4 linked regions of the Notamacropus eugenii genome follow. The protein of the gene in region 3 purifies or fractionates together with the protein of the main gene of each other region. This does not show direct contact. Links are inferred from orthologs where the notes say so. Each region holds a gene or a part of one and is shown on either strand. Other genes may lie near its edges. The genes, in order: NUP43, EKC/KEOPS complex subunit LAGE3-like, TP53RK and GON7.

What was found.
Region 1: the proteins of TP53RK (region 3) and NUP43 purify together in Homo sapiens (affinity purification with mass spectrometry; 3 studies listed by BioGRID and IntAct, counting the BioPlex papers as one, with this or other methods). This does not show direct contact. The link is inferred for Notamacropus eugenii from reciprocal best matches to the Homo sapiens genes TP53RK and NUP43.
Region 2: the proteins of TP53RK (region 3) and EKC/KEOPS complex subunit LAGE3-like purify together in Homo sapiens (affinity purification with mass spectrometry; 5 studies listed by BioGRID and IntAct, with this or other methods). This does not show direct contact. The link is inferred for Notamacropus eugenii from reciprocal best matches to the Homo sapiens genes TP53RK and LAGE3.
Region 4: the proteins of TP53RK (region 3) and GON7 purify together in Homo sapiens (affinity purification with mass spectrometry; 5 studies listed by BioGRID and IntAct, counting the BioPlex papers as one, with this or other methods). This does not show direct contact. The link is inferred for Notamacropus eugenii from reciprocal best matches to the Homo sapiens genes TP53RK and GON7.

Annotation. Positions count from the first base shown.
Region 1 is NC_092873.1:241,801,644-241,809,129, forward strand, and holds the start of NUP43 (nucleoporin Nup43), read right to left. Parts: upstream 3,002-7,486; 5' UTR 2,872-3,001; coding exon 2,752-2,871; intron 1,376-2,751; coding exon 1,253-1,375; intron 128-1,252; coding exon 50-127; intron 1-49. UniProt on the Homo sapiens protein: Component of the Nup107-160 subcomplex of the nuclear pore complex (NPC). The Nup107-160 subcomplex is required for the assembly of a functional NPC.
Region 2 is NC_092872.1:451,136,953-451,144,852, forward strand, and holds the start of EKC/KEOPS complex subunit LAGE3-like, read right to left. Parts: upstream 3,022-7,900; 5' UTR 2,280-3,021; intron 2,248-2,279; exon of another isoform or gene 2,114-2,247; intron 1,441-2,113; exon of another isoform or gene 1,435-1,440; 5' UTR 1,208-1,434; intron 1-1,207. UniProt on the Homo sapiens protein: Component of the EKC/KEOPS complex that is required for the formation of a threonylcarbamoyl group on adenosine at position 37 (t(6)A37) in tRNAs that read codons beginning with adenine.
Region 3 is NC_092872.1:520,307,178-520,313,832, reverse strand, and holds TP53RK (EKC/KEOPS complex subunit TP53RK), read right to left. Parts: upstream 2,295-6,655; 5' UTR 1,649-2,294; coding exon 1,339-1,648; intron 1,044-1,338; coding exon 565-1,043; 3' UTR 505-564; downstream 1-504.
Region 4 is NC_092878.1:36,898,734-36,906,311, reverse strand, and holds the start of GON7 (EKC/KEOPS complex subunit GON7), read right to left. Parts: upstream 3,016-7,578; 5' UTR 2,849-3,015; coding exon 2,638-2,848; intron 262-2,637; coding exon 131-261; 3' UTR 1-130. Other genes in the region: putative E3 ubiquitin-protein ligase UBR7, read left to right, coding at 3,215-3,364, 6,734-6,867, 7,401-7,461. UniProt on the Homo sapiens protein: Component of the EKC/KEOPS complex that is required for the formation of a threonylcarbamoyl group on adenosine at position 37 (t(6)A37) in tRNAs that read codons beginning with adenine.

The sequences.
Region 1 (7,486 bases), on a different chromosome or scaffold from region 3:
CATTAAGAATAATTTTAAAAATTCAATTTTTGTATAAAATGCTATTTACCTGATTATTTGGATGGTGAAGAAAAATTGTTACACTTCCTGTTGATGAAGCAGCTACAATTCTTTCCTGGTCCAAAAACTAAGCAGTAGAAAAATCCTGCTCGTTACAGATTCAAAATATTAGTAAACAATTGTACAATTTTACTTAATGATAAACATAACCACAATTTTAAACATAAAAGATAATAATAATTTGTATAACACTTTACTTTTTATGATGGACTTTCAAATATATTATTTCATTTTATTCTCACAAATCAGTGAGAAAGGTCAGGCTGATGTTATTTCCAATTTATAGAGAGGTAAACTGAAGTTTAGGTAGCTAGCTATGTGGCTCGGTGGATAGAGCACTGGGCTTGGAGTAAGGAAGACCTGAATTGAAATCCATCCTCAAACACTACCAGTGTGACCATGGGCAAGTCACTAAAGTTCTGTTTGCCTTAATCCACTAGAAAAGAAAATGGCAGACTACTTCAGCATCTTTGCCAAGAAAACCCCATGGACAGTATGGTCCATGAGGTCACAAAGAGTAAGACAGGACTAAATGATTGAAAAACAAACAAATTGAAGCTCAAAGAAATTAACAAAATTATAAATAATTCATTATTTAAAGTGGTTTTTGGAGGGGAGGAGAGGGGGATAAATCTGAACCTATGTCATCAGTGAAGGAAACTCAGCATGGAAATTTTTACACATGCAAATCAGCAACACAGAGCTGCTGCTAGTTTGTAATTCACTGTCTTGGAGACAAGATTTGAAACTGGTCTTTCCAACTTTAAAGCCAGCTCTCCATCCACAGAGCCTTCACGCTTCCCACATGGTACTTTACAGTTTATAAAACGCTTTCCTTAGCACTCTGTAAAGTAGGCATGGCAAGTACTACTTTAAGAGGAGAATAAGGCTTATAGAGGCTAAAATCTTATATGGTATGACAACCCAAAGTCTTCTGTTGCTCATTCCAGTTCAAAACTATTACACATTGCCTTTCCTTATCAGTAAGAGCAAAGTAACGAAAGCACTTTAAAAAGTTACTGCACAGACAAAAATATTAATTATGATAAATGGATATTTATATAAATTTGGGCTTTCTTAAGCTATTCTCAATCTCAGAAGAGTGAACAATAGATTAACTCTGGGCCATATGAATATATATTTAGAGAAATAATATTCTATAGTATTTTAAGTCTTAAAATGTCTAGGTTACCTGCAAGTCCATTACATCACCATGATGTTTGATGTCACATAATAACTGATGATCTCCTTCAAACCCTCCTTCGGTGCTCAAATTACCAAAATCTCCAATACACCAGAGTGAAACACTGTTTTCCTGTAAATTAGTATCATTTTTATGTTATGACAGATTAAGTCCATTTTATAAAATGACAATCTTCGTTCACTTCAAATATTCCATGTTTTACTTTTGGATGATCAATTATTTGGTAACAGTTTAAACCACTCAAGTAGTTTCCAGTCTGTAGGAATGTTAGGAGAAACAGGAGGAATGGGGCCAATAACTATTTCAACAGGTCCAGTAATATTATATATGGGCACCACTAGCTTATTATGTATTGTCTCAGTCACTGATACTAAGAGGACAACTATTATCATGGAGGCATGAAATTTTTGGAATTTATAAGGGGGTTATCATTCATTTAAGAAGACCATTAAGCATCTTTTTCCAGATTTATATTTGAGATCACGCATGCAGAAAAATAATTATAAGAAACAGATTAAGTGCATAAAAAAGTTATTAAAACACACTGAGACTCCATTGACGGAGCTATAAACTGGTCCAGCCATTCAAGAATATAATTTAATGCCCAAAGAGTTATTAAATTGTGTATACCTTTTTACACAGGGATAGCACTATGAGTCTTACGTACAAAAATATTTATAGCCGGTATTTCCAAGGTAGCCAAAAACTGGAAACTAAGGGGAGCCAGTCAATTGGGAAATGATGTTTAAAAAAGAAAAAAAAAGCCTCAGTCCTTGGCCACAAGAAGCTAACATTCTAACGAGGATGATGGTAGGCAGACCACTTTTTAAAAGCAAGACAAATCGTAAGAAATCTCAGAGGGAAGAGACTGAAGCTTTAAGAAAAAATATTCCTAGTACTTAGTACAGAAATCTGGCACACAGTGAGTACTTAATAAATGCGTGTTGACTTCTAGGGGTAACAGGTGTCTTCTAATGCTTCTCTGCCTGCGTGACTTTGCCCGAATTATTTGGGTCTCCGAATCCTCCTGGTAACACTCAGACAATCTGTTATCTGGAGGAAGAACCCTGAGGGGCCAGCGGAGCTGGCTAGTTCCCGAGAGGAAAAATGACCCCCTCGGGATTTATATTATTACATTAATTACACTGCTAGTAAATATTATAGATAGGAAAAAAGCAATTAAATCGGGGAAGCTGGGTTTCAACCTCCTACTGTGTGACCTGGGCAGGAAGCCTAACCTCTCTGAGCCTCAGTTAAAGAGGGCGGCATTGGAATGGATGGTACCTAACATCCCTCCTGGCTCCGACGTCTATGACCCGAGTCGGGGGGCGGGGGGAGTCCTTTCAGAACGAGCGCGAAGCTCGTGGGTTGCTCCGCGTGCGTGGGGGAGAAGGCCAAGAAAGCCCAAGAAGATGCGGCAGGATGGGAAAGGGGAGCGCGCGATTTGCGGGAACCTGGCAGCCACGAGACAAGGAAGAGGCGGATACCTCGTTGTCCCAAGAGCCGGTGGCGAAGGTCTCGGCAGGCTGCAGACTCCCGAGCGGCACCGGCCGCCACCGGGTCTTGCTGATCTTCTGGGACACGAACTTGGCAAAGATCTCCTCCATGACTGAGAGGCCGCAACTCTACCGCGCGCGCAATCCCTGCGCCCGCCTCTTCCGGCCTGCTTTGCCCACCTTCCCGGCATCCTGATTGGCTAGAAGAAGACACCGGGAGACGGCGGCCGAGAAAAGACCCTGGGCCCGCCTCTTCCGGTCTGCTTTGACCACCTGCCCGGCATCCTGATTGGCTAAGAGAAAGCACCGGGAGACGGCGAGCGAGGAAAGACAAACTTCTTCGGTAGGCTCCGAAAGGCTTTCGATTTCTGGGAGGGGGTGGGATGCCGGAAGCCCTGAGGGTTTGGGATGGAAGACTGTGTAGCTGAAGGTCCTGGGGCTGCCCTTCGGTTGGTTCTCCGCTGCTCTCCCCTTCAGCTTTCTAGCAGATTCCTCGTTGCCTGTCGTCAACTTTGTGAAGCTAAGGAAGCGCTCCCCGTCCCCTCCCCGTCCCCTCCCCTTCCCCCAAGCTGTCATTGTAACGTTTCACGTACATTTTAATTAGGACACGATCGTTGTTAAAATCCTGGAGTGATTGGGTGTTTCCTAAATACCCACTTAAAGCAAATCCCCAAATGACGTCTTTCTAATTTTTTGTTTTTTCCGTGCTATGAGACTTTGCTGTTCACCTGCATAAATAAACAAACAAACAAAACTGGAGGAAAAGCTCCCCCGCGGTTCATTTCATGAACTCACCCTTCTGCGGCGTTGTGTTACCTGCCAGAGAAGCACAGCTCCGGTAGGAGGCCTTCAGGGCCCTCCCCGCCTGCTCCTCTAAGCTTCGCGGTCAGACTGCCTTCCAGGCATCCTGTAAGGAGCAGAAGAGATCCAGTCTTGTGTCCCACGCTGAGTGAGGAGATGTCAAGACTAAACTGCCCTCACTCCCTTAGGGCATCACAACCAGAGGAACCACATCAGGGCACTGAAAAGACTGGGGGGGTGCCTGCTGAGGCAGTCCACAGCCTTTGCAGGCTAGAAACAAGCACTGCAGGACTGGAGGACAAAAAGGAAAGGAAAAGGATGGAATCTTTGCCAAGAAAGTAGCACCCTTGACTTTATACCTAGCGTAGGGCTTTAAGGTTTACAAAAGACTTGGCAGATATCATCTCCATCCTAACAACAACCCTCGGAGGTAGGCACCATTACTCTTTCCATTTTACAGCTGAGGAAACTGAGGCAGGCAAAGATTAATTGACTTGCCCAGGGGGACACAGCTAGTAAGTAAGCCCCTGAGCGGGGAGTTAAACATTCCAGGTACAGCGCTCTATCCATTTATTTCACCACCTAGCTGCCTAAGTGACTTCAACTCCTGTGAAACAGTTCCAAAAATGTGGTAGTTGACATAGAAAAGAAAGCAGAGATCACAAAAAGCCAGTTTGGATTCATCATTCAGTCTACATTAATGAAACAGATTGCTAGATCAGAGGAACGCTGTGAATATACTTTATCTAGATTTCTGCAAAATGGTACAACAAAGATTCTTATGCTAATCTTCCGGACAAGGTAGAAGGATGAGGTAATTATATAAGGTAAGTGGATTAGGAACTGGTTTAATTGTTGGACCAAAAAAGGAGTTATTGATAGTTCAGTGTCAGCTTGGAAAGTGCTTAGTCCTATGCCTTTTAACATTTTTATCACTGAGTTGGATAAAGAGGTAGATGGCATGTTTATTGTATAATCTGCAGATGGCAGAAAGTTAGAAAGATAGCTAACAAGATCAATAGTCAGCAATCAGAGTGATCTTGACAGTTTAGAACACTGAATTAAAACTAATAAATGGAATTTAATACGATAAATGTAAAAACACTTGATCTTTTAAAAAAAAATCAGTTTCACAAGTAAAAGACAGGAGGGGTATAATTAGGCATCAGTCCATCTGCAAGAGATATGGGAGGTTTTGTATTCTGCAGGCTCAGTAAGAGTCAATAATGATGTGGCTGCCAAGAAAGCAGATGCAGTCTCAAGTTTCATACTGTGCCATGGGATCCAGAATTAGGAAAGTAATACAGATAAGTGGTGCAGTAGATAGAGCACCACTGCAGGAGTCAGGAGGACCTGAGTTCAAATCTCACCTCAGACACTTGACACTCACTAGCTGTGTGACCTTGGGCAAGTCACTTAACCCCAATTGCCTCATCCTGGGTCATCTCCAGTCATCCTGATGAATATCTGGTCACTGGATTCAGATGACTCTGGAGAAGAAGTAAGGCTGGTGACCTGCACAGCTCTCCCTCACTCAAAGCAAAGTCAAGTACAAGTCACGTCATCATTTCTCTGATGGCATGGTCTTCTTTGGCAATGAACAAACACACAGTCTCACTGTACTCTACGCTGGTCAGACTACATTTGAAGTATTGTATTTAGTTCTGGGTGCCACATTTTAGAGTGGACATTGATAAGATGGAGAGTATCCAGAGGAAAGCAGCCAGAATAAGTGAAAAAACTGTGGAGAGGGTTAACCTAGAGAGGAAAAGACAGAGGGACCATGATAAGCAGTCTTCAAGTATTTGAAGGGCCATCATGAGGGAGAGAGTTTAAATTTGTTCTCCTTGGCTCTGAAGGGCAGACTTGCAGTAATGGGTAGAAGATGCAAGACAGGCAAATTTAGATTTGATATAAGAAAAATTCTCCCAACAATTAGAGCTATGTAAAAGTAGAAAGGGCTACCTCTAGGAGATTCCCTCTCCCTGGAGGTCTCCAAGCAAAAGCTGGTTGAGTGTATGTTGAAAATGAGAAGGGATTCTGTTTCAGGTACAGGTTGGATTAGATAGTCTGAGTGTATTTACAACTCTGTAGTTCCAATTCTGATGTCTCTATGAAAGCTTTTTATCTAAATTATCAAATGCAATCATGTACTGAATGTAAAGTAATTATAGTTTTGTTTAACACACCATGAGAATGTGAGTGACAGGGCTATTGTAGCCGAAATAAAGAGCCCAACTGAGCTGTTACTGGATGGAACAATGGATTTAGTATCGAAAGACCTCAGTAGTGTTCCTGTAAGATTTTCTATCAGAGACTTCATCTTTTAAGCCATACAATTGACTGAGATGTTTAGAGAACATACAACCACTATGTATATTGCTTGATTCCAGAAAGGACCCCAGGTTAAGAATTCTTGGCCTATTTCTGATGTGTTGGGTAGATCCTCTATAGGAGATTTATGTAGAGACATGGATAAGTAACATAGGATAAGAAGGAACAGATAAATTGTAATCCATTTCAGTGGTGTTTGAGACTAATCTTGAAGGAAGCCAGGGATCCTAAGCAGTAGAGGTAAGAAGGAAAAGTATTTCCTGGTTTGGGGAACAGTCATTGCAAAGGCACTGAGATAAAGAGATGAATTGTGATATGAAAAAATAGCAAGTAACTCAATTGGCTAAATCATAAAATGCATCAAGGGGAATAATGTATAAAAAGCCTAGAAAGGTAGAAAAAGACCAGATTGTGAAAAACTTTAAATTCCAGGTATATTTGGAGGTTATATTTGGTCCTAGAGAGAATAAAGAACTGCTAAAGTTTATAGAGGCAGGGGTGAAGGGTGATATAGTCAGACTTGAGCTTTAAGGAAAATCACTTTTGGCAGCTGTGTGGAGGATGGATTATGGATTTAACAGGGGAAATACTTGAAGCAGATTTTGAACTAGGAAACTAAACTATTGCTATAATCCAGCTAAGAAATGATGAAAGTCTGAATGAAAGTGATAGCTGTGTGATTGAAAGGAAGAGGATATATCTGAAAAAAAGTTGTAATAATTGAAATTAGATCTGACAACTAATTGTAAATTTGACGTCAGTAAAAGTAAGGATGATACTAAAGTTGAGAACTTGGGTGACTGGAAGGATGGTGGTGCCCTATTAACTCTACTGCCATTCCCATACCCTTCCTGAGGTAATTAAAGGTCTATTTAATCCTTAGGCCTACTCTACCCTTTCCCACCAGTTGTTGGTTGGGGACATATAAAGCTCACACTGCTTGGATAAGTAGGGAGTTACCTGCTACCATCCTTTCAGTTAAGATGGGGCCTTACCATCAGTCTTACCCTAGGCATTGCCAGTCTGACCTGCCAATTCACCTTATGGGTTTCTAGGCTTTGTCATCTGCCCTGTTGCTACACCTTAAATACCTTGGCACCTTTCCATCTGCCCTACAACTGAAAACTCATTTACTTTCCCTATTTAGGGAAAATTGTGAAATCCTTGAGAGCAGGGACTGCTTTGTTTATTCATTTGAATCCCCAGTGTTTAGCATAGTGCTTGGCACATAGGAAGTGCTTAATAAAAAATACTTCTTCATTCTATACATAAAAAGACCTAGAGGAAGGCCCTTAGTGCATTGGATATTCCCTCCAAGCATATACTAGTTCCTTGGTCACTTTCCTCATTCAAATAAGGTCATAGACAACATTACAAATGGTTGACTTTGGCCCTTTTCTCTCACAGTCAGGTTGGTTACATTTTATACTGCTTCTTGCCCTCAGTCCTCTACCCCAGGGCTTCTTAAACTTTTTCTGCTAGTGACCCCTTTTTGCCTGAGAAATTTTTATGTGATCCTAGGTATGTCAGTATATAAAATAGTTATACAAATCAAAATTTACTGATAGTAAATCATAAAGAAATTTATTTT
Region 2 (7,900 bases), about 69 Mb from region 3:
CCTCCTATTCTCCAGAAGTTTGGCTAGCTTCCACAATCTCTGTTTTAATTATCCAAACCTCTATCCATTATTCAGGGTAAGTAAGGTCCTCCTTGACAACCCAGTGGTCTCTAACCTTGCACCTATGAAGTCAAAGGACTTCCCGTCAAGACCATCCATTTTAAATAAATGTGAGTGTAAAGGACACAGAGGGAGGTAAGGAGGCAAGGGATGAGAATACCCTATGGAGCATCTACAAGGACAGGATCAGTTTCCAGAGGAGTTCAATTTGGATAAAGGTATCTAGATGGAACTTCACTGTGTAGAGAAGCCAAATGTCCAAATTCAAATCTGCTTCTAGTCTTGGCTACATAACTGACTACTGTAAGACTCTAAGCAACTACTTAATCCCTTAGAAACAAGTTCTTTTTTTGCAAAATGAAGATAAAAATGCCTGCCTATCTGTCCAAGTGACTTTTGTGAAGACACAATAAGAATAAAGACATGAAAGTACTTTGAGGTAAGTTCATGCACTCAGATATTTCAGGTGAAGAATGTCAGGGGCCTTTAGGGAGAAAGGCTTGGAAAAGGGATGGGGTAACTAGGCTGTCAACCAATGGGAGAAGGTCATCTCTGATTAATGGAGCAGGGATTCTTAATCTTTTTTATGTAAAATACTTTTTTGGATCCCCTTCTCAGAATAATATTTTTAAATGCTTAAAACACAAGAGGAATACAATGGAAATCAATTATGTCAAAATATAATTACCAAGATACATTTAAAAACAAGTTCACAAGGTTAAGAACCTCTCTATTCTAAAGGATATCTTACAGCACAGGGAGAACTGCATCAAGGATGTGGAAAATCAGAAGCCCAAACTGACAGTCTCATTCATTTAGTAAATCTATTGATACCCTTATGACAAGGAAAACTCCTTTCCTTATTATTACCTACTGAGGGGCACTTTCCCTAAAGTAGAGATGATGTATGACTTAGGAGACTTTGGGTAAGACCTGGATTTGATTATATGCCTCCTATACATAAGCAACTTTGTGACCTCACTGAAACTCTCTGGGCTTCAATTTCCACATTCATAAAATGGGGATGATACCTAGAGTGTGAACTTCACAGTGTGGTTAGGAGAATCAAACAATGTATGTAAGGCATGTTGTCCCTCTAAAGGGACGATATTTTCCCTCCTCCCCAAATACCTCAGTAACTTCTCACCTCTCTCCCCAAGCAGGTGAGGCTGATCCTCCAGGTTCACTCTCCTCACAGGTTGGATGACTTCCCTGATCTTCCCCAGGTAAGAAGGGTGGGACAACTTTAGCCCCAAGATGTGTCACTTCTTGGGATTCTCTGGAAAACTCTTAAATCAAGGCTGTGTCTCCTTCTAGGTTGGATTCAGGCTTTTTCCACCACCTTCATCTCTGCTGCTCCACTGAAGCCAAAACCTGTGGCTAAGAGGCAGAGTCACTTTAGTCAGGTCTTTCTCCCTGGGGCTACGATATGCCTTCCCAGCAAGGAACTCTCCCTCTTATATCCCGGCTTAAGGCAAGTTTGGAGGCAGCTAGGTGGCTCTGACGCAGCGCTGGTTGGAAGGCCTGAGTTCAAATCCAGCCTCACTTACTTTCTGTGTGACCCTAGGCAAGTGACTTAATCTGTTTGCCTTTACCATCCGGGGGAGGAAATGGAAAACCATTCCAGAATCTTTGCCAAGAAAACCCCAAGGGAGAGCTGGATGAGGCTGAAGGACTGAACCACAGCAGCAGCAGCAACATAAACAACAACGGGGCAATTACATCAGTCTGGAGCAAAGGCCCTAAAGAAAGATCCAGAGACACACACACACACACGCGCACGTTCACAAGCCATGCTGGAACACCATGATGCCAGAGCATGGGCGCTTAACAGCCGGGCTCCGCAGCGGGAGAGGGGGTGGGGGAGGGGCTCCGCAGCGGAGGGAGGGGGAGGGGCTCCGCCAAGGCAGCCTCCCCCAAGCCTCGGCTCCCGCTCCGCGAGGGACTCACGCCGACCTCACCGCAATTCTCACGATGTGGACATTAGCCCACAAACACACACAGAACGTGATCACACAACTATCAAAAGACACAACTCGGGGCACTAGCTTACAAACTCACACCCGCCTCGACAGAACATGACCACGCACGGGAAGACATGCAACCGCACACGACAGGGCCGTTCGGACTCACAAGAAGCGCAGGCGCATACGCACACGCATACGCTCTCACAAGCTCCCCATCTCTCCCACAATACAGCTCACACCCTCTTAGCATACCGTCGGGGCGGGGACCCCGCCGCGTGTCCACCAGAGCCTCCCGAGGACCAACTCACTCCTCACGTGACCCCTGCAAACCGGAGGTCAGAGCTCCCAAGAAACCGGCTGAGCCGCGGAGGCCGCTGGGAAACCGCCTTTGGGGACAGGTCGGGTTACAGCTCAGAGGATTCTGGGAATCGTAGTTCTTCGAGTCGCTCTGCTCAAGCGTAGTTTCCGTGACGACCTCGGTCCCTTTCCCTATTCCTTTATTGGTGGTCTCTGCATCTGTGAAATTTCCTGGCCGTGACTGATGAGGATAATAATAACAAATCATTTATATAACTCTTTAAAGTGTGAAAAGCTCTTTTGATCCAGAGAAGAAGCATCTAACACATTCTCTGTCCTAGACACCCATTGTTAAAATTTCTCCCCTCCCTTGCTCATAAGTGATTTTGTATTCCAGATCCATGTTTCTATCAATTGCTTGGTAAGTAGGTCCAGAATTGGAGGAGTGAGTTACTTTCTCAGCTCTTAGTTTTCTCGGGATGGCGATGGATTTAAATCACTTAAACTTCCTTAGGAAATAACAATCATCGCACGTGTATAACCTATAAAAAATCGCCTATTTTCTTAGGAAGAAGAGAGGAGAGGAGAGAGAAGGGATGGGAGGGAGAGAATCTGGAACTCAAAATTTTAAAAAAAATGAATGTTAAAAATTGTTTTTATATGTAATTGGGAAAAAATAAAATTATTCAAGAATAAAAAAAAATAACAAGCAACTAAGTAGATATCCGTTCTTTTATCCATTCTCAATTTTTCATTCTCAATGGTTAATTTAAATAGGTCAGGTTGGAATTGTATTAATCATCCACCACAGCTATTTTTACCCTTCTATTTGGGTATTAATTTTGATTTTAATTCTAACAATACAGTTTATTCAGATTTGACCCCCACATTAACCATTTCTTTCTGTTAGACTATGATAAATTTCATTTTTGTGATGATATTCAGTGTTTATGCTGTTTAGCACAATCTAACTCTATTCTCAAAGAGAATATTCATGAGATACGAATGATAGATGGGCTAGTAGATAGTGCACTACCCTTGGGATCAGGAAGACCTCAGGTCATGTTCTACCTCAAACACTTACTAGCTATGTGACTCTTGGCAAATCACTAACTTCTCTCAGAGTCATTTTCCCATCTGTAAGATGGAGATAATAGTGCCTATCTCCAGGTTTTTGTTAGGAGCAAGTGAGATAATATATATAAATGCCTTTTGCAACTCTTAAAATGCTATATAAATATTAACAGCTATTATTAGCTATTATATAGGAATGAGATTTCAGTATGATCTAAAAGTGCTTGGATTTTCTTGTTTCTGACTCTTCAATTATGTTTTCCAAAATATTTTGTCATTCTTTTTTATTATTTCCACCTTTGTATGGAAGTCATTGTTATTGAAGTTTATGTTAATTTAATTTGAAGAGTCTTATTGAGTCCTTTGTAGAATTTTCTTGCCACCTCGTACTCTACCACAAATGGTACACGAGCTGCAATTACTTTTATAGTCAACTTCTTCTAAATGTTTATGTAATACAAGATGAACAAGTGGCTCATGAAATTATACTCTTATTCAGAGACAGCTGGGTAGCTCAGTGGAAAGAGTGCTGAACCTGAAATCAGGAGGACCTGAATTCAAATACAGCCTTAGACACTTACTAGCTGTGTGACCCTGGGAAAGTCACATAATTTTTGTTGACCTCAGTTTCCTCAATTGTAAAATGGGAATAATGACGACACCTACTTTGCATGGGGGCAGCTAGGAGGATAGAGTGGACAGAGTGCCAAGCTTGGAGTCTGAAAGACTCTTTCCTGAGTTGAAATTTGACCACAGACACAACCTGCTATGTGAACCTGGGCAAATCACTTATTCCTTTTTACCTCAGTTTCCTCATCTGTAAGATGACCTGGAGAAGGAAATAGCAAACCACTATAGGATTTCCCAAGAAAAACCCTAAATGGGGTCTTGAAAAGTCAGACACAAATGAAAAACAACTGAACAACGAATGAGATAACATTTATAAAGTATTTAGCTAACATAGTACCTGGAATGTAGTGCATGCTATATAAGTGCTTGTTACCCTCCTTTTATTATCTTTGGGCCTATGATAATACAAGAAACTTTAACCTGGCCAACTCCTTTACTGACCTCTTCAAGAAAAATCTATACATCATGCTTTTAGCTCCTGTCTTGTAGTTTCATTTATAGCCAGAATAAAAAAAAAAAGTTCTACCTGAACTTTGAATGACAAATACCATTCGGTTCCTACTGTAGCATGTTTATACATTCATGGGACAACCACCTCACATTTATAGGACCAACAGTAAAACTAGTGCTTGTAATTTCAAAACTCTAATATTCTTAATTCTAAAAACTGGATAATTATTAGCCACTTTGTCTGCTTTTCTCTTACTATCACTGAAGACTGCACAAGATCAAGATCCACTTTGTATTTTCCTTTATTTCGTGGGTTCTGATAGCCAAAGAACTATTGGATGCTAAGTTTCTATCAATGCTGCCTAATATTGCATTTTTTTTCCCACCAGCCATTTAGTAGTGCTGGCTCAACTGGAGTGTCTAGGTCTTATTCACATGAATTATTGTCTAGCCACATCTTTTCTATTTGTACTGCTGATTTTTTTAAAAGCACATATGCACAATTTTACGTTTATCCCTGTGAAATTCTACTGTATTAGATTTGGTTCAAATTCTGGTAAAATTCTTGTTGTTATCCAGTTGTATCTGACTCTTGATGATCCCTTTTGGGGTTTTCTTGGCAAAAATACTGGAGTGGTTTGCCATTTTCTCCTCCAGTTTATTTTATAGATGAGGAAACTGAGGCAAATGGGGTTAAGCTGTGAAAGACCTAAAATGCCAACCTAAGGCATTTGTGGGACATCAAGAGCCATTGGAGGTAGGTAACATAATAAAAGTAATTTTTCAGTAAGAATAGGCATCAATATGTTAGAAAAAGTGGAAGATGAAGGGATAGAGACCACTTAGGAGACATTTCAGCTTTTTTTCAGAATCTGTCTTCTACCAGGGGACCTCGTCTAGAAAGAGTCTGGAACTGCATATCTTCTTTCAAAATCAAAACCAGAAGCAGGAGCTGTTCTCTCCCAATTTCCCATGATCTTTGCACTTCAAGAAGGCACAGAGCATTGAGTAATCCTTCCACCATGAGGAGAATCTTATGACTAGGCTTGAGTCCTAGATTACAACATTAACTTAAGTATGAAGGGACGGTCTTGAATTGGCAGCAGAACGTGGCTATGGCACTGTCCGAAAGTCTACGTTGGGAGAGGAATGGAACACCAGGGCCACTTAGTAAAGCAAAAGCTAGTAAGGCAAAATTGGGGCAAGTAGTCACTTATAAGGAAGTCCTCTCAGGGAAGAGAGTTCACAAAGGCAATGAATTTGATATGAAGTCAAGACCAAGCTCTGACCTTATGAAACATCACAGTTCTAATACGAGAGAGAAACCATAATTGTAGAATGTGATAGATACCTCTATGTTTACACTTTCTCAGCTCAACATGGCTTCTTTTAGTTAACTTTTCTTAAAGTTCCATGCAACTTTTACTTATCAAATCAGAAGCAGGGTTTTTGTCTGTTTGTTTCCAGCCTCAATGAACTGATTGATAAAAGTCACCATGAGAGTTGTCTGTTATTCTGAATATTTATGGCCTATTGCTGCCTTTCTAATTCACTCAGTGGATTCATTTGAACTTGAAAAAAAGGATCGTCTGGCTGGCTGGACTTTTACAGTTAATTTAACATATCACTATTCAGTCACATTTCAGTAATCAAGTTTGTTATAGACTATCCCTTAAACACAGTTTACTCATCACCAAAGAACTCATATTGAAGAGAAAATCATTTATTACAATGAATTGTTGGAAAATCTTCAAAAATACCCAGAGAATTGATATGGGAGAAAAATCTTTAAATTTAAGCAATGTAAGTAGATTTTTAGGGTAAGATCACATCTTATGGAAAATGTTATCCACATCCAGAGAAAGAAATGTGGAATCTGAATGTAGATCAAAGCATACTGTTTTCTCTTTCTATTGTTGTTTTGTTTTTTCTTTCTCATGGTTTTTCCCTTTTGTTCTTATTCTTTTTTCACAACATGACTAATGTGGAAATATGTTTAGACATAATAAATATGTTTAATAATACATGTATAGCCTATATCACATTGCATGCTGTCTTGGAGAGGGAGGAAGAGAGAAAGGGGGAAATTTTAGAACTCAAAATCTTGTAAAAATGAGAGTTGAAAATTAAAAATAATTTTTTTAAAAAAAGATCACATCTTATGCAACATAAAATTCCTTGTACTAGAGAAAAACACTTCAATTGTAATTCGTGAATATAAAAAGCTTTCAGGCATAGATCAACCTTTGGAAGGAAAATTTAATGCTGGATGATTCATATTGGAAAAAAATCCTAATACCTAGTTAATGAACATTGGGAAGACTTTAAATGGAATATACTATTTACTCAACATCAAATAATTCATACTGGAGAGAAAATTTGTTTTAAAAACTAATTTGGATAATGTTGTAGTCAGGCATGAGGTTGTACAAGCAAATCAAGTCCAAGGTTCTCAGTCAGCACAAGGACCCAGAGGTTCACAGCTTTTTGGCTTTTATACAATTTTTACATAGCACAAGAGGGGAAGCAGAATTCACCAGTTAACCTGTGATTAGATCAGGACATGTGCTGCTGTCTCTTAAGTGGGATGTTTTACAGTGTTGAGAGGTGAAAACTTACAGTCACAAAATGGGATCACTTTGGCCTAACAAATCTCTACCTGGAGAGTTGGACATCTGGTTTTTGCCATCTTTTTTTTTGCATCTTCCCTTCCATTCACTGGTTTCCTAGCTTCAGAGAGTAGCTTGAATTTAAAAACTCAGTCTTCTTGGTATTTCTTTTCACTCTTGTAAACAGTCACTTAGATTATCATCCTCACTTCACCATATGTATTTAGGCAGGAATCCTTTGTATACTGTTAGGCTGTGAGGAGCAAATGAGCTATAATATTTGTAAAGCTTTTAGCCCCAGTGCTGGGCTCATAGTATGTGCTCTATAAATGCTAGCCATAATGAGTGCTATGCTTCTGACATGTATTGTAACATGGTGAAAGAGTTAATTTGTAAAGGGACACCTTTCCCCAACATTCAGGTGACAAGAGAATGCTTTATGATTCTAGTAACTTTGGGTCTTCTTCTTCCTGGGGTCCTTGGCAGTAAGTCCAATAGCATGACACCAGCTACCTCCTCCCCAGACCCATGGCAGAAACAATAACATTGCTTTTCTTGTGACTGAAGATGCATGTCTTGTGACTACATGACCCAGGATAGGTCTGTGAGAGATATGTCCCATCTCAGGGGCTCCCTGAGATTCTGCAAACTACAAGGCTCACCATCTTGAACAGGGAAAACTCAAAAGAGTAGCAGTAGCAGATGTAGCAACTTCAGGGAGAACCTGACCTTATTATGAAATTTCCTTCTTAGCCACTATGGTTAAATGAGAAGAAGTGAGGCTACACATAGCAAAGAGATGTGAAATAACCA
Region 3 (6,655 bases):
TGGTTGTGTTCCAGGGTTTGAAGTGGGCAAGGGATGATAAAAGCATGAAACGTGATGAAGCATGTAAAACCACCTCTGGAGAGTGATGATGCCCACGAGACACAGAAACACCTATTTGTGGACACCGTATAGATTGGTTTTGCTTGTCTATGCTTATTTGTTACAAGGATTTTTTTCTCTTTCTCTCTTTTTTTAATTTGAGGGAGTAAAGTTAGGTGAGGGGGTTTAGCAGGACTGATACAAAAATAGGAGGGGCATTGTAACATTTTTTAAAATCCACAGAATAGAAAGAAGTTCATTCAGAAAGAAGGATAGATAAGCAGAACAGTTTCGAACGTAACAATTGAATTACATACTTTTGAAAAAAGTAATGTGAAATGGAGATTTATGATTTCATCGAGATCCCCTTTTTTATGTTCTGCTGTGTGTACAAAAAGGCTCCTTTGGGGGTATTTAAGTTCAGAATATAAAAAATTAAAAATAAAATCTCAACACACGTTTCGGTAACCTCCCTGGGAATTTTATTTGGAAATGAATTGTGTGGTACTACCACAGAATCTCCTCCTACCCCACCATGGACCGCTTCCTTCCTCTCAGCCGGACCTCATCTAACTTTTTTAGCACAGGGCCTGACTTTTTGGACTCTGACGAATAGCTTTTTAGAAGGTCCTGGTACAAGCTCTCCGTGTTGGGATGCGTGCTAAGAAAGGCCTTTTCTAGGACGTACAGGTCTACACCTTTATCCTCAGCAAGGGCAGAAATAAAACTGAGGCCAAAGTCTATGAGCACCAGGCTCAGCTGTTCAGCAGGCTTTTTCAGGAGCATGTTTGAGGTGGTGAGATCTCCATGAATAACATCTTCATCGTGCATGTGTGCCAGAACCTTCCCCATCTTTCTGGCTAAGAGGGGGAGGTTTTCAGCATCTGTTTCAGTCCCCTGAATGGACTGAATATAGTCCCTGACAGTCAAGGACTCTTCAATATCTTCCAGGTATAAGCAATTGGAGGCATAGTCTACAAAATAGACCACTGGGGCTAATATCCCTGCAGGAGAGACAAAAAACGAAAAGGGAGTTTGTATTATTTTTAATAACTTGAAAAAGTGTTTATTGAACATGTTTGTAAAGGTCGCAGAGTTTTCTTATCGTGCCAAATCATTTCAGCAAAAGTAACAAAACTAGAAGGGCTGGGGTGGCATCTCATCTAAACTTGCTATCTTAAAGAGTTCCCGCAGTCACTGTCCAGGAAACTGACTGATCTTTTGCCAGGTGTAAAGTGTTCCCCTCCCCCCTTCCCTTCCCTCCCCTGCGCACGCGCGCGCACGCGCACACGCGCTTACCGGCTCGGCGGCAGCGCAGCAGGGCCCGAGCCTCCTGCACCGTACGCCGCCGGCTCAGCCGCGTGTCCAGGGCCGGGTGCCGATAGCGCTTCGGGAAGCGCTCCTTGACCACCGCTGCGCGGCCCAGGAAGCGGCCGCGGTACACGCGCGCCTCTGCCCCCTGCTTCACCAGCTCCAGGCCCCGCAGGAAGTCGCTGCTCCGCTCCCGTTCCCGTTCCAGCTTCTGCTCTTGTTCCTGGTCCGCGGCCAAGTCCGCGGTCTCCGCCGCAGCCTTTGCCGTCTCCCTCCCAGTCTCAGCGGCGGCCGCCATCTTGCCCGCCTCTCAACGACCACTCGGAATTCTTCGGCTCTTTTCGGAAGCCCTCGGTGGTTGGTCCTCCTCTTCGGAACTCTTCGGCTTTTCCCGGAAGCTCCGCCCCCTCCTCTTCGGAACTTTCAACCCGCCTATAGATCGGGAGTTGAGAGGGTTCTCGGAGTCCAAGCCCTTCACTTGTTTTTATTAGCGCTTGCCCTCTCCATGGGTGGCAGAGGGCGTAGAGGGAGAGAAAGAATTGTAAACCCAAATTTTTTTAAAATAAATGTTAAAAAGTAATTTTTAAAAAGTTCAGTGACTTGCCTAGGGTCTCACCGCCACGTCGTCTCCTGCCTCTCTGTAGCTGCCTGGTGTCTGGCTCTTATCGAGTGCTTGTGCTTGGTAGTGCATCCGGGGATTCACACTCATCCCCTGGGCCGCCAACTCCAGCGCGCCTCCAGCGGGTGGGCGGGTGGATGTTCCCACAACTGAATCTCCGACCTTGGAAGGTGGGACTGTTTCATTTTGGGTTTGTGTCCCACACCTAGCACATCAACTGACACTTAGTATTCGATAAACACTTGATCATTTGAATTGAATGAGTTGACGTGATTGTCCCTTTGTTCTTACTCTGAGATGTCTCTTTAATAAAATGAATTCTTTACTTTGTGGTGAGTGCTGGTTGCCACCATCTGTGGTGACTGGTTGATGAAGTCAATAGCCAGACTAACATGGTTGGCCTTTAAAAGGGAGGAGAGGGAGAGGGAGGGAAAGAAAGAATGGGGAGGGGAAGGGAGGAGTGAGGGGCAAGTGAAGAGAGAGAGGTAGGGGAGAGAGGGAGAAAGAACAGGGGCTACATTTGGATTTAGTTCTTTGGAGACAGGCAGTCCTTTCAGGGAACCACAGCCTCAGTAAAGGCAGTGAGGAATCAGTGGTGCATAGCAAAGGAGTTGATGGGCCAAACAGTGAGCTGCAAGAAAACTAGACAGAGAAGATGGCCAGTGGCAGTGATGAAAGACTTCCGGACCAAACTTCCTATAGCCAGAAGAGGAGTTCCTGGACAAAGTGGAAGCTGAATATAGGAGTAAATCTAGATCTTGCTCTTTGGTGGTACAAGGAGTTGTCCGAATAGAGTTCTGTAGTTTGGCAGATGAAAAGGAAAAGCTTCTTCTAAGTGTTTACTTAGTGTTTACAAAGTGCTACCTGCTCTCTAGGAGTTCACTTTCTAATTGAGGGAGACAATACACAAACGACATCTTGTGTATTTAAGGGATCTCAGAGGCCATTGCTGAAGTCTGAACCCCTCGTTTTTCAGAAAAGGAAACTTATGCCTAGAAGTTTAAGTGACTTGTGTAAGGCTATCTATCTAGTGAATGCTTGACATGGGATTTGAACATAATTTGACTCTTCCATAAACCTTGCCTCACAACTTTCTATTTAACCCTAAGCACTTTCTACTTTGGGGACACGTGGGGGAGGGACACCCCAGGGTGGTAGTAAAATTCAGGGGAAATATTGTAAGTCTCTGGAAGGTGAGCTCAGTTGAAAGTAGGTGACATGAATTTGTGGTGGACTCAATTTTCAGATTAGTCAGATTCCTCCGTTAGTGTTCAGTAGCTTAGTGGAGAATAAGTCCTTCCTAAAATCCCACCTCCTGCTGGAAGCCTTTCCAGATCCCCCTTAATTCTACTGCTCTCCCTTTGGTGATTATTTCAGATTTATCTAGTGTATATTTTGATTGTACAGAGTCAATTACATGTTGTCTGCCCCATTAGACCATCCTTGAGAGCAGGGATGGTCTTTTGCCTTTCCAGTGGTTCAGAGTGAGCATAAATAGCGTTGTTTCTGTTTTGGCCAGAAACCCTGAGGATCTTCCCCTCCCAGATTGAATTTTTTTTTGTTTGAATGAGGTAAAGAGGCCATTCTCTGCCTCATTTCTTATTAAACCTTAATCCCTGTGGGCTTTGCATAGTCAAAGTAAGACCTGTTAAAGACTTTGGCTTGAAAAGGCCACTGCATCCTGACCTCTAGATCCATATCTGGCCATTGAATGCAAATGGCTCTGGAGGTGAAAGTGAGGCTGGTGACCTTCCTGTAGGAGGTGGGATTTGGGGTAGAACTTGAAGGAAGACAGAGAAACCAAGAAGGAGAGCATTCTGAGCATGAAAAACAACTAGTGAAAATGCCTGGAGTCAGGAGATTATTTGAGGAATCGAAAAAAGGCCAGTGTCACTGCAGAGTACCTGAGGGGACTGGGGAGGGGGGTAGGAATGGGGGAAGGTTGTAAAGTGTAAGAAGAATAGGAAAGTTGAGGCGGGAATAGGTTATGAAAGGTTTTAGAAGCCAAACGGAGCATTTTATATTTGATCCTGGGGTTGATAGGGAGCCACTGGAGTTTGTTGAGTAGGGGATAACAGGGTCAGACCTGTGCTTTTGGAAGATTACTTTGACAGCGAAGTAGAGGATGGATAGAAATTGGGGGAGACTTGAGACAGACTCACAAGCAGGCTACTCTTGCAATGGTCCAGGGCTGAAGTGGTTAGGGCTTGTACTGAGAGGCAGTGTCAGAGGAGAGAATGGGGTGTATGGGAGAGATGTTTTAAAGGTAAAATCAACAAGCCTTGACAAGAGATTGGAGATGGAGGGTTAGGAGTGAGAAAGAGTAAATAGCTGAAGATGAGAGACTAAGCTAAGACTAGGAGGCTGTGGTAGAAGGAAAGACAGAACAGGACACTATGGTCAGAGAAAGGAATTTCATAGTTCAAGTTCATAACAAGGAGTGATGGTAAGATATTTCTGTGATCAACTTAAGTGGAATGAAAATAAGTTCATAGGAGTTAAGGAGACAGGTGAAGTGGGAGACCAGAGTTCTTGAGGAGACATTGTTGGGAATATTGAAGCCCACTCCTCCACCTCACTTCCACCCCCCAAGTATGGGAGGAATCAAAGTGGAGGAAGAGTTGTCGGTCAGGCTTAGAACTCTAGGAAATGAAGGAAAGTGACTTGGAGGCCAATAGACAACAACACTAAGGATATGGAGAAGATGCTATAAATGGATGGAGTGAATCTCAGAGTTGGAAAAGATGCTCAGTTCTGGTAGCAAATAGAATGAATGGAAACTCCTTGAGGATTTCATAATTTGGTCCTTGTGCTGCTTCTGGCACATATTAGACGTTTGACAAATTCTTGCTAATTGATTGATCAATTGATTTATAGTGGCCATAGGGAACCAGGAACACATTTGCTTCTCCTGATCAGTATGTTGGGGAACATGAGATGCAGAACAGTCAGCAGTGGAGAAGGTGACTCTCTCATATGGAGAAAACTGTATTCCCCTGAATCTAGAAAGATGGAAAGATGATGAAAAGAAGAGATAGAAGATAAAGAAAAATGCTTTGATGATTAAGTGAATTTTCCAAAGGGCACAATGGAAGAGGAAGAGCCAAGGAGGAAAGAGGCTGGGAAGTGGTAGATTGAATGCCAGAGACATCAGAGGAAGGGGGCTTTTGTCTGCTTTTAGTAAAATGATTGGATTATCTCTAAATTCCCAACTCCAGAGCTTATCCTTCTGCTGACTTCCTGCATCCACTTTTGCTCTGACTTCCCCTTCTCTGTGCTGCCCTTCTTAAAGTTCTTACCCTCATAAAATCCTAGAATTTCGGAGGTGATGACTAGAGAAGAATCTCAGAACCCTAGGAAGTCATCTAACCTTTCTTGGTCTGTTTCCTTATCCACAAAATGAAGTTATTGTTCTGCATCCAGGGCCTCTAAGAGTCCCTCCAGCTATGAATCAATGATCCTATAACTTTTAAATTAATAATAACAGCTCACATTTCCTTTATACTGTAAAAAGCACTGGACTTACAATCACCTTCCAAAGTAGGAAGTACAAGAATCCTGCTTTTACAGAGGGCCAAAGAAAGTAACATTCACTAGCTGTGGTCTGACTTAAACCCAGGTCTTCCCATTTCATGTCCAGCTCCTTAGTCCACTTGTAAGGATAGTTCTGTTCCCCCCACATCCATTCTAAAGAGCTAGAAATGAAAGTGAAAAAGAGTAGTTAGCCCCCCACTACTCCCAACCCCAGCTAATGAAGTGAGGGGTGTGATCCCACTCTGGGCAACCTAGCCTTCTACAGAAAGAAGGCCTTCTACAACAGAGCTGTCTGCAACTGCTGTCTCCATAAGGTGCAAATTCTTGATCGTTTTCTCGCTCAAAGCAATTAAAGCCTACTTCAGAGCAACTGCCCCTCCCTTGTTCAGCCTTCAAAGTGCACCACTTAATTAGCATCATTATTGGTATCATCATTATAAGCATCACCAGGGTTACCAACCCCTTCGGAACACCTGCCTAATTAAGTCCCTTTGACAGTCTGTTTTGAGTTCCATCTTAATAATAAGACTTGACAATCTAATATAATAAACAGCATCTACCATTCTCCTTATTCTATTATTTTATTCATCGTATTATCCTTCCTCTGGAGAACACCAGTTGCTCCAGTTTGTGAAGCTTTTTGGCTATGAAGCAGTTTCTCACAACAACCCAGGGAAAGGGCCAAGGGCAGGGATTATTTTACAGATGAGGAAGTTGAGGCCCAGTGATATGAGACTTATAGTCATCAACCAGTAAGTGGTAGAGTGTAGACTCAAACTCAGGGCTTTGGCCTCTCAGTCCAGTGAGCTTTCCACTATAGTCTGTCCCCATTTGCTTTTTTTTTTCTGAATTTAATTATAAAAATATATTTTGTGTTTGGCTGTCTTTTGAGTTTTTTTTACTTTACTTTCATTTCCAAACATTTCTTTCCCTCTTCCTGTAAAGAGTGTCATCCTTTGTAAGAAAAGAATAGAAAAGAAATGGAAAAAAAATCAGTTCAGCAAAGTAATCAACACCTCAACCAAATCTGACAATATGTGTGACACCAAGAGTAATGTTGTATAAACTGTCCAGAAGCCTGTCAATATAGAAATGTGTTGAGCCTGTTTTATTTAAGAGGAAGGAAACAATTATTTCCTACTGCATGCCAGG
Region 4 (7,578 bases), on a different chromosome or scaffold from region 3:
TTTTTGGTTGGCAATATACAGAAGAAACATTTTCCTTTGACAGAATAGCCAAGGTAAAAACAGATGCGTTTCCAAAATCAAGTACAAATTTTGCAAGATCTCAATATATACCAAATATTTATACCAAGATTTAGCCAAAGTTTTTTACTCCAAAACTACATTCAAGACTATGTAAAGGTTTTATCCGTTTTGCAGGTGGTCCCGATGAGTAAATTTTGTTTTGAGTGTTACTTTCTTCATCTTCAGCCTCATCGTCTTCACCTTTTAAAATAACAAATATTTGTTGTATGACAATATTCTTGAAGGACAGCTAAAAGGGGCTGTTAATGAGATCAGAGGAGATGACATACGTAAAGTACTTTTAAAATGACAAAGCATTTTATAACATAATGTTTACTTCTGAGGTAAAAAAGCACGCACATTATTACTTTTGAGTTATTAAATGTACCTCTTTTAAATTTACGAGGTAAATAATCCAGCAATGTCTCATTCTATTCCTGAATTTTAAAAATTGCTATTCTGTACAATTATGTACAATTGTACTATTTCTGCACAATTCTGACACTATTAACCTGTTGTTGATAGAGGTTGTTTTTTTTATTATTTTTGAAATAGGGTAGTGGTACTTCCCTAATGATCGATCAGCCAACAGCATGCTATTTCAAGAAGACAGGAACAGAGTTTGAAGCTAGAAACCATAGAAACTCCCCACTTGGTTCATTAGCCAAACTACCTAGTTTATACAAGGACGGAAACTATCATCTTGGTGTCAATATCATGCCCTAAAAGAGCTAACCAACCTACAGTACTATTGTTGATTTGTTTTTCAGTAGTGTCCACACACTAGTAGGGAAGAGCACCATAATCATTCCTCAAATATTTTTTAATGTATTATATGTGTGTGTGAAATAATTCTAATAATAAGTGGTAACAGCGAGCACCTAAATAGTATTATATAGACATATATGTATGTATATGTCTATATAATGTTACTTTATCCTCACAGCAACCCTGTCATATAAGGGCTGTTGTTATCCCCTTTTACAAATGAGAAAACTGAAGCTAAGAGAGGTTAAATAACTTACCCCAGGTGATATAGCAGTAAATGTCTGAGGTCTAATGACTTTAATGTCTAAACCACCTATTTGTCCCTAAGTAAATAATAATACTACTGGCAGCAGGCAAAAGAAAAATGGCCAGACAATTCAATTTGGGCACTAAGTACAACCACAAAGTGCAGTGCCTATATGACATGGGTAAGCCATTTAAGGATTGGTGCCTCAGTTTGTCCACCTATAAAACTGAGATATGCAAGATACCTCCACTTAAGTCTTTCTCTTCTGCCTCATATTGGTGTGGACAGGACCTTTATTTCTTGAAAGCTACCCTCATAGAGAACAAGCTCCGGCAAATGCTAACAAGCAGGAAAGATTTCAAATAAGGGCATTGCAAGGACCCCTTCTGAGTGGGCCAGCCTTGCTACATTCAGAGAGATTTATCACTGCATAATTTCTTTTTCCACTACAGCAACTTATAAAACTATCTACTACGGCATGGAAGGATCTGTCAACACTAACAATATTATGGATTTTTTTTTTTTAATATTTTAGTGTTGTATTGGAAAGAGCCTGGACTCAAAGTCAGAAGACTTGAGTCTGTATCCTGGCTCTGCTATTACCAGTGTCAATTTAGACATGCCACTTCTGCTCTCTAGATCCCTTCCCTAGCTGGTAAAATAAAAAGTTCCTTCCAGTTAAATCCAGTCCAGTACTTAGATGTTCTTCGAAGATACAAAGTTGCTTTACTGCCACGATACAATGTAGTACTTAGAGCATCCACACTTCACCACAGTAGATGTTCTAAGTACCGAACCTCACCCTCGTAGATGGTCAGTAAAGCAGTTTTGTTTGGTGGGAAGTACTTAGATGCTCTAAGAACCACCTTGCACCATAGCGGAAACTCTAAATACTATACTTTTCGTAGTAGATGCTCAAAAGTACTACACTATACCATAGAAGATAAAGCAGTTTTGTACAGTGGAAAGAGCAAAAGGGCAAAGGATTTGGTGTCCGAGGCGCAGGGTTTGAGTACCCTCTGCCACCTACTAGCTGTGTGCCCTTTGGCAAATAACCTTTCTGAACCTCTGCTTATACTCATCTGTAAAAAACAAAATGGGGATTCACACTTGCACTTTCCACTTCCCAGGGTTTGTCCTAAGGAAAGATTTTAAGGAAATCGGACAGCACTCTATATAAATGTTTGCAATTATTTTTCCTTTCTCATTTTTTCCAATCATCATAGCTATTTTTTCCTCCAAAGAACGGACAACACTTGAGCACTAACTTAGGCTGTGAGGCCTCAAAAGACAAAAGCAACCCGACTAGACGTAAATGCGACATTGCGGATCGGAGGATTCAGGGCTGGAAGGGCGTCTCCGACATTTTCGAGTCAGAATTCGAAGCCCATCACTGCCCCCGGACCCCGTCCTCAGAAGTCACCAACCAGGACCAAGCACCCTTCGGCCCCGGGCTCAGCCTGGCCTCGGCCTCGCCGTCCTCCCCCGCCCCGAACAAAGAGCCCCGCCCAGGACCCCCGCCCCCGCCGTTGCCAGGGGAACGGGGCCGCCGCCCGGCTCACCCTCCGAGGCCGAGGTGGAGCCTCCAGCCGCCGCCGGGTCCCGCGCCTCTCTTCCTTCCACAGTTTGAAGGAGCTCGGTCACCTGCTCCCTCATCTGCGCCAACCCCGACAGCAGTCCCTGGAAGCGGCCTGCCTCACTCGGCCCCTCACAAGTTATTCGGAGCCGCTGCTGCTTCCCATCTCGTCCCACAAACTCTCCCAGAAGCTCCATGACGGCAGTTCTTCAACTGCCCGCCACCGGAGCGACCCGGAAACGGAAGCGGCCCTTGCCGCCGCAGCAGCCACCAGAGGGAGGGGAGTGGGGCGGGGGGGGGGGGAGGGAGAGGAAAAGGGAGGGGATAGGAAACCAAAAAAAAAAAAAAAAAAAAAAAAGCCTACGCATTCGGCACCTCCCGCCTCCCCTGAACTTCCGTTTCCGCAATCGGCGCCCCCCGCGCTCCGCCTTCTCCTCCCGGCGCTCTGATTGGTTTTGGGAGTTGGAGGGGCGGGGTTCCTCCATCTCCGGCTACACCCCTCGCGCGCAGTTTTCCCGCCGCCCCCGATGTGGAGCTCCGGGCCTGCCGGCTGACAGTTGAGCATGGCGGGAGCCGAGCGGGGCGGGGGTCGGCTGTCCGAGCAGGAGCCCGTGGTGTCGTTGGTGGACGTGTTAGAGGAGGACGAAGAGCTGGAGAACGAGGCCTGCGCGGTGCTGGGCGGCAGCGACTCGGAGAAGTGCTCCTACTCGCAGGTGGGCGGGGGGCCGGGGCCGAGATTGGGGGGCTCACGGCCCGGGCCCGCGCGAGCCTCCGCTCCAGTGCCCGGGGCTCCCGTGCCCGGGGCTCAGTCCGGGCGCCTTCGGGCCCGGCCTGGGCCTGCCTCCTCTCCACGGAGGGCCACCCCGTCATTCTTTGCCCTTTCACCTCTCCTTTAGGGAGTTCCCACCCCCGTGCGGACCCGCTCTTCTCCGGGATTCCCAGCCTGCCCCGCCCTTCCCGGCCCCCAACTTCTCCCCCACCTTCCCATTCCCAGCCCGACCCCTTCACTCCTGATGTGTCTCGGCTCCCGCTCCGGAATTCTCTGCTTCCTGGTTCTCTCTTAAAGGCTCGTCTGCCTCGCAGGGTCCTCAGCCCCCCCACCCCCCGTCCTGGAGGTCAGGTAGTCCGCTAGCGTGGTCCTTGCCCTCCGAGGACGTCGCCCAGCCGCGTGGCTCTTGACCTTCTCTGCCTCCGCCGCCCAGCGCCGTGCCGGGCACGCAGTAGGCGTTTAATAAATGCTTGTTGGCCTGAGGCCAGTCTGTAAACTGCCGTGTGCAAACTGGAAAAATGCTGGCTAAAGTATGAATAATCCTGGGGAAGACTCCAGGATTAAGGGGATCAGGGAGGCTCCTTGCAGAAGGTGGGAGATGGGAGGGGATGGCCAGTGAGCGCGCACGGAGATGCCCCCGTTCTTGGTCTGTCCTCTTCCCAGCGTCGCCCCCTTCCCCTTCTTTATTCCCCGCCCCCCCCCGTTTCTGTTAGCTCCCGGAGGCTTTGCCCACCCCCCACCCATTCCCTTTCATAGATAGGGTGGCCCTGTCCCCCCCCACCTTGTCTTCTCCCCTGCCTTCCCCCCCAGTGCCCCTTTCCTCAGGACCTCTCTGCCTTATTCTTAGTGTCACTGTTTGCGAAAACCCCATTCCTTCCTTTCCTCCCCTCCTCTTGGTTCAGGCCTTTTATCCTGCCCCCCCCCCCCCCCTCTCCAAATCGCATTTCCCCGTCCTAGGGCGAGCAAGAAGGGATAGTAAGTTGTGGGCTGGCTTCTTTGGGAGGTGAGGGTCAGGGACGTCCTGTCCAGTTGCGTGGATGTGATGTAGTATTTTGTAGAAACGAGTTATTTGTAGAAGCTCTGCTTTCAACGTTAGATTAGGAACCAGAAGAGCGGATAATAGGGGAAAAGGGAGAGAAGAGAGCAGATTTGGCATTGAAGACTGCGGAAGGATGAAGGTTATAGGGGTTCCCTTTACCGGCTAGGGGTGCGTAGAAGTGCAGTAAGGACACTAGACGGAAGAATTAAAATGTGCAGAGATCCCTGTCCAGAAAGCTTAGTGGAGTGTGGAGAGAAAGGGACTTGAAGACGTTTTCTGGTGTGGACTAACATAATACAGCAGCCATTGAGAAACGTGTGAGCTGCTGCAGCATTAAATAATAATTCTCAGTATCGAGTTCTCTTTGGGATTGGAGGCGATACTCTTTACCTTAGAGGTGGTATGCTTCAGGCCTTGATCTTAATGAGAGTTTAAACCTGGTAGCCTTTTAGGAGAGAGCACCTGGGGCTGTGCTAAAACACCTCAGAGGTGATTTTTTTAAAAAGCTTGATTTGCAGCAGGTGGGTAGGCAAAAACCTGTTTGTTCTGTAAGGGAGGAAGGGGAGAAGGCATTATTCTTCCATAAAGTAAATTGTCTTTCAGATTTAAATATCTAAGTTGACCAAACATTTTCCAAGATGAAAATATGATGGTTAATTATTTTCATGTTCTCAGAAATACCAACATTGTAAAATGTTGATTAACCAGAACCCTGCTAACACTTAATTAGCTAAATTTATTTTGCTGTTTCCCATTTTTATGAAAGATTTAAGCCATAAGGCAAGTAGTATAAGCATTTTAATACAAAAAGTGTATTTTAAGATGTCTGGGGGCACAACCCCTACATCATCCACATCTATTCCTATAACCTTTTATGATCTTTCTTGATATGCAGTGATGATGAGACACTAAAAGATTTTCAGTCATCAAATATTGTTATCTATCCCAAACTATAATTATTAAGGCAAAGCAGTTCCCTAATTCATTTTAGAGTTTTAAAAGGGGTTGGAAGAATTATATTTTGGCAAAACCTTTATTGACCACAACAGCTCATTTTTTGTGTAGTTTAATTAATAAAATACCTTTCTTGAGCATTGACTTTATGTAGACATGTTTAAGACATGGTTCTTTTCTTCATGGATTTTTGAAGTTGGGAACCGAACTGGGTCGTGTGTGTGTGTGTGTGTGTTCGTGTGTTCGTCCTTCGTTGCCAAAGAAGACCATGACTTGGACTTGACTTTGTTTTGAGTGAGGGAGGGCTGTGCAGGTCACCAGCCTCACTTCTCCTCCAGAGCCATCTGAATCCAGTGACCAGATATTCAACAAGATGACTGGAGATGACCCAGGATGAGGCAGTTGGGGTTAAGTGACTTGCCCAAGATCACACAGCTAGTGAGTGTCAAGTGTCTGAGGTGAGATTTGAACTCAGGTCCTCCTGCACTGGTGCTCTATCCACTGCACCACCTAGCTGCCCAGGGGCATGTACACACACACAAAATGACTAGAAATATTAGGCAGTAAATAGTAAGTGCAAAATGAGCAAACGAGTGAATTTTAGGACTGAAGAGGGAAGGGAGAATTTCAGATTGAAGGGGTCAGAGAAAGGTTTACAGAGGACCTAGAATTTGGGCTGGACCTTGAAGAATGAATAGAATTTTAATGGTTGGGAAAGGGCTTTTTAAATGGGAAGCAATTGTAATGATTTGTGATACGACTCAAGATACAGAAGCTGGTCATTATAAAACATTTTAAAATAATAAAAGGAAAGATATGACTGAAATAGAAACAGCATAGACTATATGGTTCGAAAGGTAGGCTGGGCCCTAAATGAAAGGTGTATTAAAATTCTCAGTACATATATGGATGTCATTGTCATAGAGGTAAAGTTGAAAGGAACTTCAGAAGACATCTAGACTAAGACCTTCATTTTGTAGGTGAGGAAACTGAAGCCAGGAAAAGTAAGGTGTCATGTCCAAGGTTACATTGGTAGTGTCAGAGGCAAGATTTGAACCCAGGGCCCTGTGATCGAGAGCTTCTGCTTGTTCCACTGTACATGCTTTCTCCTTTGAACTATACCCCATTTTATGGTACTGTTGTGCTTTTAAAAAAGAGGCTTGTAAGTCGGTGTGGGAAGACCTTTACAGATGTCTATGGGTTTTGAATTAAATTTCATTTATTATGTAGATCACAAAGAGTGCTTAGTGCCAGCTGTACCACTTTTGAATGAATTTGTTTTCTTGATGATTTTCTTCTTCCTCTTTGTGCATCTGACAGGGCTCTGTAAAAAGACAAGCATTATATGCCTGCAGCACATGCACCCCAGAAGGAGAGGAACCAGCAGGAATTTGTTTAGCATGCAGTTATGAATGCCATGGAAGTCATAAATTATTTGAGCTATATACAAAAAGGTAAAGTTGTTCAGAGAGCATTAAAATATCTGGATTAGTTCTTAAATGTTAACTCCAGTCCAAAGAGGTATACTTTATATAGTCTTTGCCTTCTTAACTGTATTTCCTTTAGCCCCAATTTTTTCATTTAAAACTGATTTTATAAAGGTGTAGAAGTGATTAAAGCTGATGTATGCTAATGAAACAATGTAATCATAATTGTTTTTAATATGGATTAGTTTTTGGGAGCAGTTTTTAAAATTACAGTTAAAGAACAAATTGATTTACATTTGTTTAAATTTACATACTTGGGATCAAGGAAGTGACCCTTATCTGTAGTAATTTTACTTATTTCTGCATTCTTTTTGGCCTCTTTCTTTTCTGGGACTGTACAATTTTTTTCTTATTACTTTTGTTCAGGGATCAGGTCATAGTAACCAAGCCCACTTTAAAAAAAAAAAGAAGCATGATTGTAACCTGACTCCTGAACGTAAAAAGTAAGACATTACATTTTTTGAATAAATTGAAATTATTACCTTGCTCCTTTGTTTCAGAAATTTTCGCTGTGATTGTGGAAATAGCAAGTTTAAAAACCTGGAATGCAAATTACTTCCGGTAAGTAAGATTTATCAATCATTTAATTAATAAAATCAATTGCAATTGGATGGGTAGAAAGGAAATTTTTTTTTAATTCCCTTAGCAGTTAGCTTAATCCGCATTAGAATCCAATCT